Rattus norvegicus: one gene and its partners. The protein of the gene in region 2 interacts with the protein of the main gene of each other region in a pairwise test. Links are inferred from orthologs where the notes say so. Each region holds a gene or a part of one and is shown on either strand. Other genes may lie near its edges. The genes, in order: Zyx, Cass4 and Cdc42ep2.

Region 1 (5,959 bases), on a different chromosome or scaffold from region 2:
TCCCTAAACCTACATGAAGTTCCCAAGGTCACATCATCCACTTCTAAGAATCCCGTCCTGGGATCTTCCTCCATTCTCTCTGCACAGCACAAAGTGGCCCAAGGTCCCTGAGGCTCTTAACTTCTTGGAATTCTTGGAAGACTTGTCAGCTACCTCTAACTTGAGGCCTGCCCTTGTGTTACAGTCCCACATTAGCTGAATGACAGTTCCAGCTGAAGGCAAGTGCTCCTGAAGCCTGTTGCTCAACACAATGACATCTAGACCCCTCCTCTTCCCGTTCAAACCATTTCCCCATCTGCACTTCTCTATTTTGTCAGTAATATTGTTACTCCTCAACATACCCAGCTCTGAGCCTCCCTGGCATTTGTGTTCGCCCACCCCAGCTGCTCTCAGTTGCAGCCTCCTGTAGGCCCTTCCATTGGAACAGCTCTCATCCATGGATCTTATTTCTCACTGCAACTAATACTACTGTGGCCCAGGAGTGAACTCACCTGCATCCCAGATCTCCCTACCTCTAATATGCACCTCGGCTGGAAAAGCTTTGCAGTATTACTTTTCACCAGTCCTCCTGGCCAAACCACACACAACTGAGACACCATCAGTGATTCTCCAATGCGCACAAGCTCCCTACTGGAGATTTTGTTCTCTAGTGCTTCTGCCACAAATCTCCACCCATCTCAAGCACAGCTCAAAGTCTGTCTGCTAGGAGCCTTGTGCTTTCTGTTCTCCAAATAGCCCTCCTGTGTTATCCGTACCCTGGAATTCTCCACAAGCTCTATCCACCTAATCCTCTTCTCAATCCCTTCTGGATTCTCAAGTCCTCAAGTACCTGAAGGCAGACCAACCTCGTGAAGCTGTTCCTAAGTTGCCAGCCCCCATGCTGGGTCATAGTTTCAAATCCCTGTAACTCAGATTCTGAGCTATCAGAATCCAGCTACACTTATTCCTACACTGTGTCTGAGTACATCCAGACGTTTACAGTTACCAGTCAGATACCCAGAAAGTCCCTTCAACTCAGAAGATCTCTTTCTCTGAACTAACAGGCAACAACTGTACTGTCTGTTTCTATTTTGAGCTCTTATGTGCTAGACTAAGAAGATAAGCTGACTTGCACTTCACCGTTGTTTGGTATGGGTAGCTATTTCAAAGACGGGTGTGTGGTGTGTGTGTGTGTGTGTGTGTGTGTGTGTGTGTGTGTGTGTGTGTGTGTTCAAAGTTCACCCAATTTTACTAGGGTCTAACAACTTGTGAGAAACAGGCTAGAAATTCTACCCTGAACCTGTGACTTCAGAAGACTGAACCTGTTGGAGAGATCTCTCCAGCCCATAGACCCAGCCTCCAGAGCACAGAGCAGTGCCTGGCACTCAGCTGATGCTGGCCCAGCAAGTGTTTCCTGGTGCTGACTATACTTTTATCTCTAGATGGGCCCTCAGGCAATGAAGTGCTCAGAAAACCCAGGAGCCTAGGGATTTAGTCAAGGCCCAAGAATGGGAAAAACTAAGGTTGGGCTAATGATCTCATTCTCCTCTCTAACATTCTAGGGCAGAGGCACAGGGGAAACGTTGTATCCTCTTACTTCTAAACCCCAGCTGCTGTACCGATTGACCCAGGCCCCAGCTAGTCCCAGACTTCCTCCAGAAGAACTTTCTCTCTGCCAGGACAGATAACCCTACACTTCCCCCATCACCACACCCACTCTGGCTCCTCTAGTTCTCTACCCCACCCTCACCCTCTTGCCCTCTTTTTTCTGCAGTCCTATTTCATCCAGCCCCTGGCCTCAGCCTGTGGCTTCCTCACCTGGTTTTGGTTTTGAGCTGGTGGAGGCAGTGGGTGCTGCTTCTCTTGAACTAGGGGCTTCTCCTTCTGCTGAGCATAGGTGAAGCTAGGGGGCTGGGGGGAGCCTGTGCCCACAGAAGAAGGAGCTTCCAGAGGCACCGATTTTTGACTGGGCTGTGGCCCAGGTCCACTTGGAGCACCAGGGCTGAATTTGGAAGCCACGGGAGTAAATTTAGGTGCCACTGGAGCAAACTTAGGTGCTGGAGTTGGAGCCTGAGAAAGGGGACCTCGGGGCTGTGTATTAGCGGAAGACACAGACTGGGGTTGGACATGGGGCTTGGCCTGAGGCTGGGCATGGAGCTGGACCTGAGGCTTGGCCTGCGGCTGAGGTGGTGGCTGAGAGCTAGAAGGGGCCTTCCAAGGAGGTAAGGGTGCTGTGCCCACAGGGGCAGGCTTGGTACTAGGTTTGGGAACAAATGGAGTAGCAACTGGTGGAGGTACATATCCAGATGACACCTGCAAGGAGAAGCAGAAGGGGGGGGATGTACTTAGAGGAGGTGGACATCTCTTCCTGTATCCCCTCCTCTCCTTCTAGGCCCAGACTTTCCTACTGTCCTGCCCCTTACCCGGGCTTTGAAGGGATCGTTCTTGGTCATGTCATCCAGCAGTGAGGACAGAGAGTCGATCTCCAGGTCAATACTGCTCACTTTCTCCCTGGGCTGGAGGGTCAGGGGTCAGAGCACCCATCCCAGTCTTCCCTTGTCGTCCCACTCCCATCGGGAGAGAGTTAAAGACTCCTCTCCAGCTCATGGAGGCGTCCCCCACCCCATCTCCAGCAAAGCTGCCCTCCAAGCCCTCCCTACCTGCGGTGGGAGCTGGGTAGGGGCCTCAGGTCCTCCCTCCTCCTCCAGTGGAGGTGGAGGGGAGGGGAAGATGTCCTCCTCCAGAGGAGCAGGGGGGAATGGTTCTTCGATCAACGGGGGAGGTGGAGGTGGGAAGGCACCTCCCAGGGCCCCCTCTGAGTCGTCGCCCTCCCCAATAACGGGAGGAGGGGGCAAAGGAAAGTCTGGGTAGGAAGGAGAGAGAAGGCTATCAGTACCGGCCCTCGTTCCTTCTCTCAGCCTACTGTTTTAACCCCCTAATCCAAGAACTCTTTTTCTGCATCCCAAGAGCGTGTGCAGACCATAACAGGGGCTCAGGATGCCCTGGGCGAAGCAGGTCGAGTGAGAACGGGCTAGGTTGAAGAACCGTGCAGCTCCCGTTACACTTCAGAGAACGGATCCAGAGGGGAAGATTCCTGGCCCACATTCCCGCCTCCTACCCCCAGGCGGGAGTCTTGGAACAGTCCCAAGGGTTCTGGCTCCTAGCCAGGAGCTCCAAGATGAGGTAAGAACATCTGCTCAGGACAGGGTAGCCACCCAGAGCCCAGCCCCCTCCACAACAGCCTTTCCAGACAACCCCAAATTCCCCAAACCACCGACCCCCAACCTGGCGCCCGAGAAGAATCGGGGCCCCCAATCCCAGCCGCATACCTTCCGGGGGCGGTGGGGGGATCTCGCCCACCCGGCCCATCTGTGCTCTCTGGGCCCCGGCTGCCACAGGAGACTCGCTGTCCCCAGGCCGGAAAGGATTCACTTTGGGCTTCGGGGCCACAACCGGGGCGAACTTCTTCTGCGGGGCGTAAAACGCGGGGGCCGAGACCGAGACGGAGATCGCGGGAGGCGGGCGGGGGGCCGCCATAGTCAGGCCGGGCTGCTGGGGGTGGGTCGTCAGGTTACGCAGAGCGGTGCCGGGCTGACACTCCTCGGTCCAAGAGCCCCTCGGTGACCCCACCCTCGCCTCCCCGCGTCCCCTTCCCGGGACTGCGGAGCTTCTCCCCGCGCCTCACCGCGGGCAGGAGCGTGAGAGCCGCGTCTCGGATGACCGCCTCGGCGCCGAGTCCACGGACTCTGCGTCCCGGTCCGGAGCAGCTTCTAGCCAAGCGGGGAGGGACGACGCGCAAGGGAAGGGAGGGAGGGGGCGGGGAGAGAGCGGCGCCCAGACCATACAAGGAGCGGCCCGGAGAGGGGGCGGGGAGAGGCCGGGGAGGGAGGGCCGGGCAGGAAACTCCCCCAGGAAGGGGCCCGGGTCCTGCCCTGGGCCGCAGGCTCTGCAAAGGTCCGCCTGCGGCCTCCCTACGCATCACCGCCCCCGCCGGGCACAGACCACCCTTCCCCAGCACAGGCCTCTGATGTCATTTCCTGACCTGCCACCTACCCCCCTCCCCCCTCCCGACCCGCGAGTGCTGGAGAACTGACTCACCGTCCGCACTCCGGGGCTGTGCAGGCCGGCGAGTATCCCAGAGGTCCCGAAGCTGCTCAGTCCCGCTTCCCGGGCCTGCCTGCCATTGACTGACCCCGCCCCTCCCTGCAGCTTCAGCTCCGCGTCCCACGTGTCCTGTGGTCAGTCCCGGAACGTAGGACTGAGATGGGACCCTACTCGTGGGTGGGCGGGGATGGTGAGGGGACGTTCGCTCTGCTGGCACCCGGCTCCTAGGCCGGCCTTCTGTAACGCAGTAGTGTGTGAGTAGGAGCCTAAGCGCTCTAGGGGAATGCTAACTTCCTGAGCTAAACTGCCTCTTAAGGCTTCTAGGAATTCGCTTAGAGCTAGACCCGCCTGCAAATTTGTTGCCCCGGGGAGAGTGTCCAGTGCTTTGAGTCCAGGAATGAAGGTACAAGGGCGAAGTCAGGGTGAGCGGTCTAACAACCTAGAAAGACCCAAATAGCCTCCGGGGACCAGTCCTTGAGGATCTCTTCAAGCCTTTCCCAGCCCCTCAAGAGTATTTGGGTTGTCAGCGGCCCCCAGGACAAAGCTCGGTGGAGCCCCCCACTGGTCCAACCGGATTCCTCAGCCTGAGACTGTGCCCCAGGCTACATGAAAGAAGTCTGACAAAGCTGATGTCTGCTTTTCTTACTGTCTTAATCTTCCTTTTCTTTTCCTTCCCTTCTTTTTTTTCTTTTTCTTTTCTTTTTGTAAAATTATACACGGAAACTTCGTCCAAATTATAGAGTTACGCGTTAGAGTCTCTAGTCCAATATCCAACCCTCCGGTGCTTCCTTTGGTTTTACCGTCATCCCTGGCTGAGGTTCTCACTGTCTTCTGAGTTTCCAAACCTTGGCGCTCCCCATCTATTGCACCCTACGGTCCAGAAACCTTGAACTGTGCTTTAGGGGCATGCAAACTAACCCCAGGAACTTAGGATGAGAAACTGGGTATGTTATTTGAAAAGATGGCCCCGGGGGCGCACTTAGGTCCGAGTTAATTAACCCCTTTGGCAGAGATGCAGTACAGAGTGAGGCCAGGGAGCCCAGTTTCCAACCCAACGGACACGTTTCTTCATTCGGTTTCATTGCCTCGACTGTAAAAGGGATGGCATCTAATTCATTTGCCTGCTTCCTTATGTGAAGGAATAAACAGCATGCCATGTCTGAAAATTCTATATAGTTCACAGAATTACCTCCATGCAAGTCCCAAGCTGGAAAAGAACGGAAATTTCCAGCCAGTTAACCTAGGCAGCTTTCCCTCACATGCTCCCTTCCAGTTTGCCAGACAAGTTTAATGTGTCTTGGTTGATTCAATGCCCTTTTCCTTCCGTCAACCTTATGTCTTGAGTCATATCTATGACTGTGCATTCATCATCGTTCCAGGCCCCACACTTTTCTCCGTCATCTTAATGTTTCCATCACCAGTGTTTTGCGTTGCATGTGTGACCATGTATGACACAAAAGTGCTCAGGTATACACATCCTAACATGCACGAGCTGGTCCTAGGCCTGTTCCTATGAAGATCTGTTAGAAATTTGACACTGGATTTATTCTGCGTGTTAGAGATTGTTTCTTGGGCTTCTCAGACCGAGTCGTCAGCATCCTTCCAAATATGCCCGTGTTGGGGAAGTGGAGTTTCCAGATAAGTTTATAAGAGTAAAAGCCACCTACCCTCTAAAAACCTCTTTAAGGAGCATCGAAAAATAGAGTATGTGTAATTGTTGGCAGCTGAACCTATTTATAAATCAAGAATAGGAGAGTGTGTAGGCAGACTCCATTTCACAGACAACTAAGAGCATTTAAGATGCAAAATATTAGAGCTAGGAGTTTTAAGCCAGTCACTCTAAATACAAATTAAAAACAAAACAGAATCTCCGAAA
Region 2 (5,201 bases):
CTGGAAACTGTGGTGCGTCTCAGAGAGAGCACTGGTGGGAGAAGACGCCTGCTCTGTGGAGGCGAGGGGGGCAAAGAAAAAGAAGACAGGGTTGGAGTCCCAGTATCCCCTCAAGCTCATGGCGCTGGTGTCCCTGGTGGTTCGACTTCCTTCCCCTAGGCCTTACCTCACAAATGTTTCGTTACCTTCTAACAGCAGCACAGGCTAAGGACTAGGCCCTCAACATTGAGGAACAATCCGAGTTCGAACTGTGGCGTTTGACCAAAAGTCAGGTGCAGGATCCTCATAACCAACTCTGCTGCACTAGAAGTAAAATCCCTCCTAGCCCTGGGATTCAGGACTAGGGCAGCAGGTTAGGGATGGCTCTGTTGGCAACTGTTTGTCTAACAGGCATGAGGACGTGGGTTTGTGCTGCGACCGGTTCCCGCATATCACCGCTCCACGCTGGCCCCCTGGTACTCTTGGACCCGGGCAGTCTCTCCCTGGAGTTAGTTCTGGCACCGTAGGGCCATATAGAACTCACATTAATTTATCTCAGCGGTGGCTGGTTTCAGTGTGGCACCATGTCACGTTAGCCTAGCTGTCTTCTAACCCCAGCGGTCTCTCCATTGCTAGTCATTCTGGCCAGCCCTGGCCAGCCGGGAACTCTCCGGTTCCAGTCGCCCGCCCGGTAAAATCAAGACTCAACAAACTGCAACCCAACCATCAGATTTACGTGTTAAATTCTCAATCCACAAAACATCCACAGAATAAACTCACTGCCAATTAATAGAGATAGAAACCGACCACCTAGACAAGATAAAACTGACCTAGACCACCTGGATCGGGATCATCTTCCTCCATCTTGACTCATCTCGATGCTCTTCCTCTCTTCCTCCTCCTCCCCTCCTCTTCCTCTTCTTCTTCCTCCTCCTCCTCTTCCTCCTCCTTTCCTCCTCCTCCTCTTCCTCCTCCTCTTCTTCCTCCTCCTCTTCCTCCTCTTCCTCCTCCTCCTCTTCTTCCTCCTCCTCTTCCTCCTCTTCCTCCTCCTCTTCCTCCTCCTCTTCTTCCTCCTCCTCTTCCCCCTTCTCTTCCTCCTCCTTCTCTTCCTCTTCCTCCTTCTCCTCCTCTTCCTCCTTCTGTCTCCTTCCTAGACTTTTCCCCGCCTACCCTTCCTTCTCATCCAATGATAGGCTGGATCCGCCTTGCTGCATAATGACATCATCCTACAGGACTGGATCCCCTGTGCTCACATTTTTAAAAGTGGATCTGGGGAGTTGGCTAAGAGCATCGCTGCTCTTCCTGAGGTCCCAAGTTCCCAGAATCCACATGGCTGCTCACAGCCATCTGTAACTCCAGTGCGGGGGGAATCTGATGGTCTCGTCTAGCCTCTATGAATAGCAGACACACGCATGGTACACACACATGCAGTCAAGCTACGTGGCGGCTTGCATGTGTCATTTAACTTCCCCGTGACTGCATTCTTACCACAGATGTTCTGGAGTTTTCCATGGGATGATTTGTGTAATACACAGAGGAATAGCTCAGTGGGTGGTGTAGAATGCCTTCCTGTTAGAGATCTCACGGGCAGGCATGAACTCACGCCCTTGCCTTTTTGTAGAGGGGCATCATTTGAGGGTCCTCGTGAGCATTTTTAACCACGTGTCCCACGGGTGCGCTCCTATCCCAGTTTGTGGGATCAGGGGGAGTCGTCCGGTTTTGATGCATTTTGACAATAACTCCAGTGATGTGCAGAAGTTTGTTAGATGTGAAAGAAAAGGTTAAAAGGCCCAGTGGAAGCATAGGGACATGTGGAGGCAATGCAGGGGCACGAGTGGGTTTTCCCAATGAGAGGAAGAAAAGCAGCTCCTTTGCTATGACAAAACACCATGACCATGGTAACTTGTAAAATACAGAAGCCCGGGGCTGGGGATTTAGCTCAGTGGTAGAGCTTACCTTGGAAGCGCAAGGCCCTGGGTTCGGTCCCCAGCTCCGAAAAAAAAGAACCAAAAAAAATAAAAAAAAAAAATACAGAAGCCCACTGGGGTTGCAGTTCCAGATGGTTTGGCATAGCGAACGCGTGACGGCATGGTGGCAGGAACAGTTGAAAGCTTACATCTTGAGCCATAGGCAGGAAGGAGTAGGAGGAGGGGGGCAGCACATAGGGGATGGTGGGAGAAAGTTTACCTTTGTGGCCCATTGCCTCCAACAAGGCCACGTCTAGTCCTCCCAGACAGTTTGGCCAACTGGAAACCAAGCATGCAAACATAGAGGCCGTGGGAGCTATTCTCATTCAAACCACCATGAATGTGCCCAAAATGATGGCTGCCGTGGAAGGGCAGAGAAAGGAGGTTCAGCAGAGGGTGAAGCCAGACTGGGAGAGCCCTTGAGTGACAAGAGCAATGGGGGGAATCACTGAAGAGACCTAAGCAAAACAGAGGCAGTCAGATGTTTAGAACCTGTCAGATTCTGATTGTTACTAACCCGGGGCAACTTTGTATGTGTTTTTTTTTTTCTCCCCAGGGTCCGGGTGTTACATTGGCACCCACAACGGCCTTCAGACAAGGTGGTGGCTATAACCCATTATCCAGCCCTCAGAAATCAGATTGGATTCATGACACTCCAGTGTCGCTGGGAAAGGCTGATGTCAGAAATGCATCTATGACCAGCTTCACCAAAGAGTCATGCTCCAACACCATCCCAGGCTCCTCTGTTGTCCGCATTGGAGCTGTGACCCTCTCCCCACAGCTGGGGAACGCCGTGCAGAAGAAAAGCAGCCCCCCGGAAGAAACTTCGTATGCCTTTCTGACCCCCAGGGGGGACTCACTTCCTTCTGATGCAGGCAGCAGCTACAAGGTCCCTTCCAGGTTTCTCATTCCCAGAGTGGAGCGACAGAACACCAAACCTAACATTTATGACACCCCTAAAGCCATGCAGGGTGTGTTTCAGAATACTTCAAAAGCCACACAAGGGGTGTCTCTGGCAGGAAAGGAGCTGGAGAGAGGCAGAGAGGCTCCAGAGAATTCCCCCTGGGTCTCCAGACAGACAAATTTCCTGTCTCCCGACTCGGATCGATTATCTGTTGCCAGCTCAGACAGCAGGGCTAGTGTGGTATCTTCATGCTCCTCCCTATCCACGGACTCCTCCCCTGGCTCCTCCTCAGAGGACTCCGTGAAGGAGCTGTGGATGGACTTGGACTTTGCAAAAGAGACAGCGGTGGCTCTGCAAAGCAGAGTGGCCAGCTCAGTGGCGGGCCTGCTGCTCTTTGTAAGCAGGACCTGGAGGTTCAAAGACTCCTTGGAAACCAACGTCAACAGAATCCGAGGGGCCGCTGACCGCGTAGAGGAATCCTTGAGAGAATTTCTGGATTTTGCCCAAGGTGTTGGTGGGTTGGCCTGCAATCTCACAGACAGCTACCTTCAGGCTAGAGTTAGAGATCAGCTCCAGACGATCTCTAGCTCCTACCAGACGCTGCTGGATGCTAAGGGGACCCTGGACCGCTGCAATTGGTCGCTGGAAGTTCTCGTGGTGGACAAAGCCCAAAGCAGTGTGGATGACCTGGAGAGGTTTGTGCAGGTTGCGCGGGTAGTTCCGGAGGACGTGAAGAGGTTCACCTCCATCGTCGTTGCCAACGGGAAGCTCCTTTTTAAACAGAACTGTGAGAGAGGAGAGGTGGACTGGAGGTGTGAAAGATGCATCCAGCCTCCCCAAAGAGAAGCTGAGTCCCACCCAGAGCGCAGCAGCCCCTTCCACAAACAGCCAGCAGCTGAGCACTCCCTTGAGCTGGCGAAGAAAAGCAGAGGGGATGTCTGTGGGCAGGTAAGTCAGGGAGACAAACAGTACACAAGGACTTCATCTGTTACGGGAAATGATCATCACTGAGGGGAGATGCTGGCGCCGTGTGCGTGTAGAAATGTACACTTGCACATGCGCGTGGAAGCCAGAGGACAAGCCTGGGTATTGCTCCTCAGTGTCTCTCACTGGGCTGGAAGAGGTTGACTAGGTTAGGCTGGATGGATGGCAGCACCTAGGGGTCTGTCTTCCTCTGCGGCCCAGCACTGGAGAGACGGGCTTGTGCCACCACACCCAACCTTTTCCCATGGGTTCCAGTGGTTGAGCCCAGGTCCACTACTTGCAAAGCTCTTTAGTGACTGAACTATGTCCTGGTTCTTTTTGAGTATGTGTGTACATCTAGTGTGTGGTGTGTGGTGGGCAGTGTCTGCCTCTGCCGTTCTCCGTCTTTTTTTATTGTTGTTGTTTGGGCTTTGTTTGTTTGCTTGCTTGCTTTCGAGACAGGGCTTCACTAGGTAGTTCCTGTCCTAGAACTCAACATGTATATCGGGCTGGCCTGGAGCCCACAGAGATAAAACTGTTTCTGCCTCTGCCTCCCATGCCTCTCATGTCTCTCCCTCCCCCTCTCTCTCTCCCTCCCCCTCTCCCCACCCCCACTCCTACCTGCCCCCGGAGGCTGGGTTTAGATGCCTGTGCCACCGTGACTGGCACCACTATCTTTTTACTCTTTCTTTTGAGTTGCCCGGGCAAGGCTTTGAACTAGGGTTCTTACTGCCTTAGCCTTAGGGTTTAGCACCATGACCAAAAGCAAATTGTGGGGGAAAGGGTTTATTTATTTGGCTCACACTGCCACGTCGCTGGAGGAAGTTAGGACAGGAGCTCAAGCAGAGAAGGACCCTGGAGGCAGGAGCCGATGCAGAGGCCATGGAGGGTGCTACTCACCGGCTCACTCCGCATGGCTTGCTCAGCCTGCTTTCTTATAGCACTTAGTACCGAGAGAGGAGGCACCCGCACACAGCGGGCAGGGCCCTCCCTCACCAAAGCCAATAAATGCATCGGTAGGCAGAATCGTGAACAAAATCTCACATCTCAGAGTAAACTTTTAAAGTGGGGCACAGTGGTCATGCTATAACCTCTGTACTCAGGAAGCTGAGGAAGAAGGTGGGGAGTTTCAGGCCAATCTAGGCTACAGGGTAAGATCTTGGTGGGGTTTGGGGGTGAGCACAAAAACCACCAACCATAAAAGTGAAACAAAAAAAGCGAACTTAGGCAGCCATTGTAATTTGAAACCTATTTAAATTAGTAATTTGAGATTTAATTTTTTTTCAGAAGTCACCTAACCTACAAAAGAAAGGAAAGAACACCATGGAAGGAAAGTCAAATGAAAACCAAGACTTCTGTGGCACGGTAAGCCCTTCGCCCCCCCCCCC
Region 3 (5,981 bases), on a different chromosome or scaffold from region 2:
TTCTTCTGCCTAGGCTAAGGGTGAGCAGGAAGAAGGTGGCAGTATGCAGGGCAGGGCAGAGTCCTGTCTTCATCCCTGAATTAGACCTTGCTCAGGAAACTCCGCCCCAAGGCCGGACGTCCCAGGCCAGTCATGTTGAGCCATAGAAGCTGGACACCTCCAACCCCCAGAGCACCTGCAGCCAGCAGGAAACAAAGGAATGACTTTCTAGAGGTAGATTCCACCTAAGTCTAGGGAAGACACATCCTAAGTCTTAGGATCTTTTTTTTTTCGGAGCTGGGGACCGAACCCAGGGCCTTGCGCTTGCTAGGCAAGCGCTCTACCACTGAGCTAAATCCCCAGCCCCAAGTCTTAGGATCTTGTTGCCACCACAGCAAACTAGAGGCCTGCTGACAATATCTTAGTCTGTTCTATTTGCTGGTGTGAGGCACTGGGTGACTCTCCCTTCCTTTCCACTGAGGGAGAGTCGGGATGACTGGTGAGAGCCTGGGCCTGGGCCTTCCCCACCCTCACTCCATCACACTAGATTGACAAGACAGCTAGGGTTTTTCCACAGCAAACTGGGTGTCCCTGACAGCTGTCCCACTCTGAGCCAGATGTTCCCGCCCAAATCCAGATGTGAGGAGAACAGAGGCTAAAGGGAAGGGTGGGGCCAATATCAACCACCCAGGAGAAAGCTGGGAATAACAACAAGCAAAATAGAAGATCTGGCCACCTCGGGACCCGGGACTCCAGCCTGCCATGGAGTTCTTACATGTTAACGCTATAAGGCACGTTGTGGTGGGTGCCACTACTGCCGTGGATAGCTGTTGGAGCGGAACCGCAGAGATATTAAGGAACTTTACCAAGGTCATCAAACTAGCAAGGGAAAACTCTGGTACCAAGGCCAGTCCATGTGGTTCCAAGGCAAGGGACCATACCTATGGTGATAGGAATGGGGGACAGGAGAGAAGCTATCATGTCTCCAGGCTTCCTCCATATAGTCAGATCTCCTGGCTGCCACTTCCCCAGCTTGCAATTGTGCTGTGCTAAAAGGAGCTCTGATTAGGGCAAGGCTGCCAGGAGGAGCTTCCTCCACCACTGGAAGGCAGAGATGAAAGCATCCCAGTTGTATGGGTCACTCTGGACAAGCCCCGCCTCCCTCAGAGAAAATGACTTCCTAGGGGCAGCTCACCTCTGGTCATGGAGAATGTTTAGCCCCTACTTACTCTGGATGTTCATGAAAATCCCCCTCTCTACATAGACACTTCAAAATTAATGGGCTCCCACACACTTTTTTTTTTTTTAAATACAGGATCTTACAGTGTAGACCGGGCTGTCCTAAAACTCACACCTTCTTCCACCAACCAAGTACTGGGATTAAAAGTGTACCACCCAGCCAGGCATGGTGATGAGTGCTTTTGGGAGACAGAGGCAGGCAGATCTCTATGAGTTTAAGGCCAGCTTGGTTTGCATTGTGAGTACCAGGACAGTGAGACCCTGTCAAACATTCAAGTTTCAAAAACAAAAACAAACAAAAAAACAAAACAAAAAGAAAGTGTGCCACCATGCCCAGCTCTAGGTGTGACGTTTGCCTCTTCTCTAAAGGTTTACTGAAAAGTTTTATGGTTTTGTTTTTTCTTTTAAAAAAAAGATTTATTGGGGCTGGGGATTTAGCTCAGTGGTAGAGCGCTTACCTAGGAAGCGCAAGGCCCTGGGTTTGGTCCCCAGCTCCGAAAAAAAGAACCAAAAAAAAAAAAAAAAGATTTATTTATTCATTATATACACATACACTATAGCTATCTTCAGACACACCAGAAGAGGGCACCGAATCCCATTATAGATGGTTGTGAGCCACCATGTGGTTGCTGGGATTTAAAGTCAGGACCTCTGGAAGAGCAGTCAGTGCTCTTATTCGCTGAGCCATCTCTCCAGCACCCCCCCCCTTTAAAAAAAGATTTATTAGGTTTTGGTTTTTCAAGACAGGGTTTCTCTGTGTAGCCCTGGCTGTCCTGGAATCCTGGAACTCAATTTGTAGTGTAGACCAGACCAGTTAAACTTAGAGATCTGTCTACTTCTAGAAACAAAAACAAAAAAAGAAAAAAAACTAAGTTTTTATTATTGTATGAGTGTATCATGATATGTGTGTGAGTGCACACACACTCGCAATTGTGTATGTAATACGGAATGTGTGTGGAAGTCAGAAGAAGACTTTGTGGAGTCCACCTTTGATGGGAACTCATCTCCAAGCTTGCTCAGCAAGAGGCTTCCGCTGAGACATCTTGCCAGCCCAAGAGGAATGGTTTGAAATCTAGTTCCACCTGGGACTCTGTGTCCTTAGGTAATGAACCTTTCCTCTTTGGGACTGGACTCACCTCTATCTTTAAAATAAGCTGACCCATTGCTATACTGGAAACAAGAGGCCTCTGCACAACAGATGAATCTATAGTCACTGTCAAAGGACATTCAGCAAATATCTGCAGGGCTTTCCTCAAGTAGTGGCTTCAACAAGAATAAAAACCAGGGGCTGGAGAGATGGCTCAGCGGTTAAGAGCTCCCCACTGCTCTTCCAGAGGTCCTGAGTTCAGTTCCCAGCAACCACATGGTGGCTCACAGCCATCTATAATCAGGTCTGGTGCCCTCTTCTGGTGTATCTGAAGACAGCTACAGTGTACTTATATATAATAAATAAATCTTTAAAAAAAAAAAAGAATAAAAACCAAACCCTTCTCACCTCCCAGGCGTGGATCTCCTCTTGTCAGCCCTGACAGAGCCAGCTCAGAATCTGGCTCTCCTGTAGCGGTCTCTCTGTAGTCCAAAGTCGCTAGGTGGCGCGCGCGCCCCTGCTATAACGCGGCGTTCTAGGGTCCCAAGGAGCATACCCCGTTCCAGGCAGACGCCCACCGAGGAACTGCGTGCTCCAGTACCCGAGGTGGATCGCCCATAGGCCTTTTTCTCTGGGTTGCATATCGGACCACAGTGAGGGTAGAATTGCAATTATCGAGGACCTTGCCCCCAAGATTCCCGATATCTGGGAGGGGCCTTGCCTGAGCTTCTCCGCCTGGGCTAAGTCTCAATGTCTGTTTGGCGCACGGCCAGACTTCGGACGTGCAGGCCCCCGCCCTCCCGGGAGTCCGGCTGCTCAGCCCTGGCTCCTGTTCCCGCGCCGACCCCTCCAGGTCCCCAGTCAAACGCTGCCCAGCGCGGCCCAGATCCATTTCAGTAATACTGCAGCTAAAGATAGGAGGACACCTAACCCTAACCCTAACCTCACTATCCGCTAAAAATATGGCCTTCAGCCCAGGCCGGGACACGGGCGGAAGAGAGGATGTTCCCAGGTCCCCGGTCTCCGACTGGCAAAGACAAGCAGCTAGAAGCTGCGAGACTGACAGCGCAGCGCCTTGAGCTCTGCTGGAGGTCATGGGTAGGGGGGCGGGAACCCAGACTCCAGGTAATGGACCTGATCTCGGCCAGAACAGAGTACCTCCTGACTAGCACTCTCTAGGGAGCTACAGGAGGCCCGCAAAACCCCAGTCCGAACTCACCTTGAGGAGCGCGGGCAAAGCAGCAGAGCTGTGCGGCTAGGATAGAGGACCACGGAGGGCCTGGGAACTTACAGTGCAGACCTTGGGCCTAAGCCACGCCCCCAGTACCAGGAGCCAATCCCGGGCTGCTCCTCTCGAATCCCCCACCCACACATCCCCGCCCACCGCGGCACCGCCCAGGTTCTCGCCTTTCTGCAGAGGCTCAGAGCCGGATTCCAAGAGTCCAGAGCCTCAGCCTCAGACCGCTGAGAGCGATCACCGAGGGGTAACAAGGGTGGATACACACGAGGACGCCAGCTGTTCGTTTGGAATAAAAACTTTAGGCTAGAAGCATTGGGCCAACGAAGGCCGGAAGAAAGAATTCTTGAGAAATCTCTGAGCATCCTTGGATGAGTTTCCTTGACGGAAGGACTGGGACCCGGGAGGTGCCTGCACTGTGACTCTACAAGAATGAATTGGGCTTTGCAGGGGCCTTACAAACTTAGGAGCGTTTTTGAAGAGTTTACCCTAACCTAGGAGAGAGAGTGATGAAGGGTGTGAGAAAGATTCCGGGTCGGGAGGCGCAGAGAAAAACAGAGACTCAGCCTGAGCTTGCCTGAGTTTGCTGTCCCGCTAGGTGGTTTCTGAGGTGGGCAGTTTAGGACAGGATCAGAAACAGTTATTGAAGGGCAGGTCCGAGATAAACCGAAGGAAACTTCTCATTGCTCCGTTTTGTGAGTAAATTAGTTGAATGTTTGTGATTAGGGAAGCTGAAGGGTCTGGACTGAAGAAATTCGAGGTTCCAGGCACAGGCTGGTACCCTTCCAAGTGGATAAGTGCTAAGAGGAGTGAGGCAAAAGAAGAGGCGGACAATTCTGGGAGGAGAGACATCAGGATGCTTGGCTTCCAGAGAGCAGATGTGAAAAGGGTATATGTATAGGAGGAAGGGAAGCTAGGGTTGGGGAGTATGTCAGGCAAGCCAGAAAGGTGGGGAGAATGGGAAGGACTGAGTCATTCTTCCCTAAGACGACCATCTCTGGGCCAGGGAGTACAGCTCAGAGGAGCTCAGTGAGTTCCCCTGTATGTCAGTCCTTCTGTTTAATCCCCAGTCGCACATGTACGGACACCACACACACACACACACACACACACACACACACACACACACACACATGCATACATTCACATACTCTTACACTTACACACATGCACCACTAGATCAAGAACTCCACGTTTTAACCTCTGGGACCATTTTGTCATGTGGGAAAAGGGAATTTCAATTACTAGGAATTATGATTGATTTGAACTCCTGGGCTCAAGAAGTCTAGTTTCCTCCACCTCCCCAAGAGCTGGGACCATCGATGTGAGCCACGTGTCCCGCTCAGATGACTTAACACAGAGATTGTCCTAGTTTAGGCATGTGATGGCCAATATCTGTAATCCCAGCACTCAGAGGGTGGAGGCGGGGGATGAGGATTTCAAAATTATTCTCCTCAGCTGTATAGTAAATTCAAGCCCTAAAGTAAAAGAAGACATTCTGAGTGAAGACTCATCAGGTCAGGGTGCTTGCGGCCAAGCCGCACGACCTCAGTTTCATTTCTGGGCCTACATGGTGGAGGGGGGAAGGAACCAATGTTTAAATGTTTTTCTCTGATCTCTGTGTGCTCCATGACACACACACGCCCCCCACCTCCACAAAGGTCAGTGTCATTTGTTTCTTGAGGCAGGTCTCTCTGTATAGCCTTGGTTGACCTGGAACTCACTATGTAGCCTTGCCTGGCCTTGAACTCACAAAGATTAACCTGCCTCTGCTTTCAGTGTAATTTTTTTTTAAAGAAAGAAAAGGAATAAAGAACGGGCCAAAATTAATTACAAAGGCCCTTACAAATAAAGCAGCAAGAGAATGAGAGAAGCAGCAGAAGCCACCTGACAGGGAGCTGGTGACCCTGTGCTAGAGAGCTGGGGAGGCTGGGGAGGCTGGGGAGGCAAAGGCACTGCCAGCCCGGTGTACAGTGTGAGTTCTAGGCCAGGCAGGGCTACAACATAGTGAGACCCAGTGTCAAAAGAGAAAAAGGAAAGAGGGGCACAGTGAAAGGGTTCGGCTCACCCTCTGAGTGCCAGGATTACAGACAGACATCATCACATGCTGTTTATTCAGTGCTCAGGACAGAACCCAGGGCTTTGTGCTTGCTCCATAAGCGCTTGGTAAACCAAACACGTTATCCCCAAGCCTGATGGCCTGGGTTTGAGCTGCAGAACCCACATGGCGGAAGAGAGAACCAATTCCCACAGGCTTTCTGCCAACCTGTACACACATCAATAAACACGTCATTTTTGTAAAATGAAGGGAAGGGCAGGTCAGGAAGATACCAGAGTGCTATTCTTAGAGATGAAAGAAGGGCTTGGGGGCCAAGGACCTCTGGACCTTCCAATGGCAGGAGAAGACAGAGACAGACAGGTTCTGCCCTGGGGCTTCCA

What was found.
Region 1: the proteins of Cass4 (region 2) and Zyx interact in binary tests that used the Homo sapiens proteins (3 or more experiments, as listed by UniProt). The link is inferred for Rattus norvegicus from reciprocal best matches to the Homo sapiens genes CASS4 and ZYX.
Region 3: the proteins of Cass4 (region 2) and Cdc42ep2 interact in binary tests that used the Homo sapiens proteins (3 or more experiments, as listed by UniProt). The link is inferred for Rattus norvegicus from reciprocal best matches to the Homo sapiens genes CASS4 and CDC42EP2.

The regions. Positions count from the first base shown.
Region 1 is NC_086022.1:72,202,205-72,208,163, reverse strand, and holds the start of Zyx (zyxin), read right to left. Parts: upstream 3,665-5,959; intron 3,532-3,664; exon of another isoform or gene 3,529-3,531; coding exon of another isoform or gene 3,517-3,528; coding exon 3,309-3,516; intron 2,843-3,308; coding exon 2,640-2,842; intron 2,496-2,639; coding exon 2,403-2,495; intron 2,293-2,402; coding exon 1,798-2,292; intron 1-1,797. UniProt on the Homo sapiens protein: Adhesion plaque protein. Binds alpha-actinin and the CRP protein. Important for targeting TES and ENA/VASP family members to focal adhesions and for the formation of actin-rich structures.
Region 2 is NC_086021.1:181,611,840-181,617,040, forward strand, and holds part of Cass4 (cas scaffolding protein family member 4), read left to right. Parts: intron 1-2,502; coding exon 2,503-3,798; intron 3,799-5,100; coding exon 5,101-5,178; intron 5,179-5,201. UniProt on the Homo sapiens protein: Docking protein that plays a role in tyrosine kinase-based signaling related to cell adhesion and cell spreading. Regulates PTK2/FAK1 activity, focal adhesion integrity, and cell spreading.
Region 3 is NC_086019.1:212,636,599-212,642,579, forward strand, and holds the start of Cdc42ep2 (cdc42 effector protein 2), read right to left. Parts: upstream 3,551-5,981; 5' UTR 3,525-3,550; intron 2,937-3,524; exon of another isoform or gene 2,714-2,936; intron 176-2,713; exon of another isoform or gene 1-175. UniProt on the Homo sapiens protein: Probably involved in the organization of the actin cytoskeleton. May act downstream of CDC42 to induce actin filament assembly leading to cell shape changes. Induces pseudopodia formation in fibroblasts in a CDC42-dependent manner.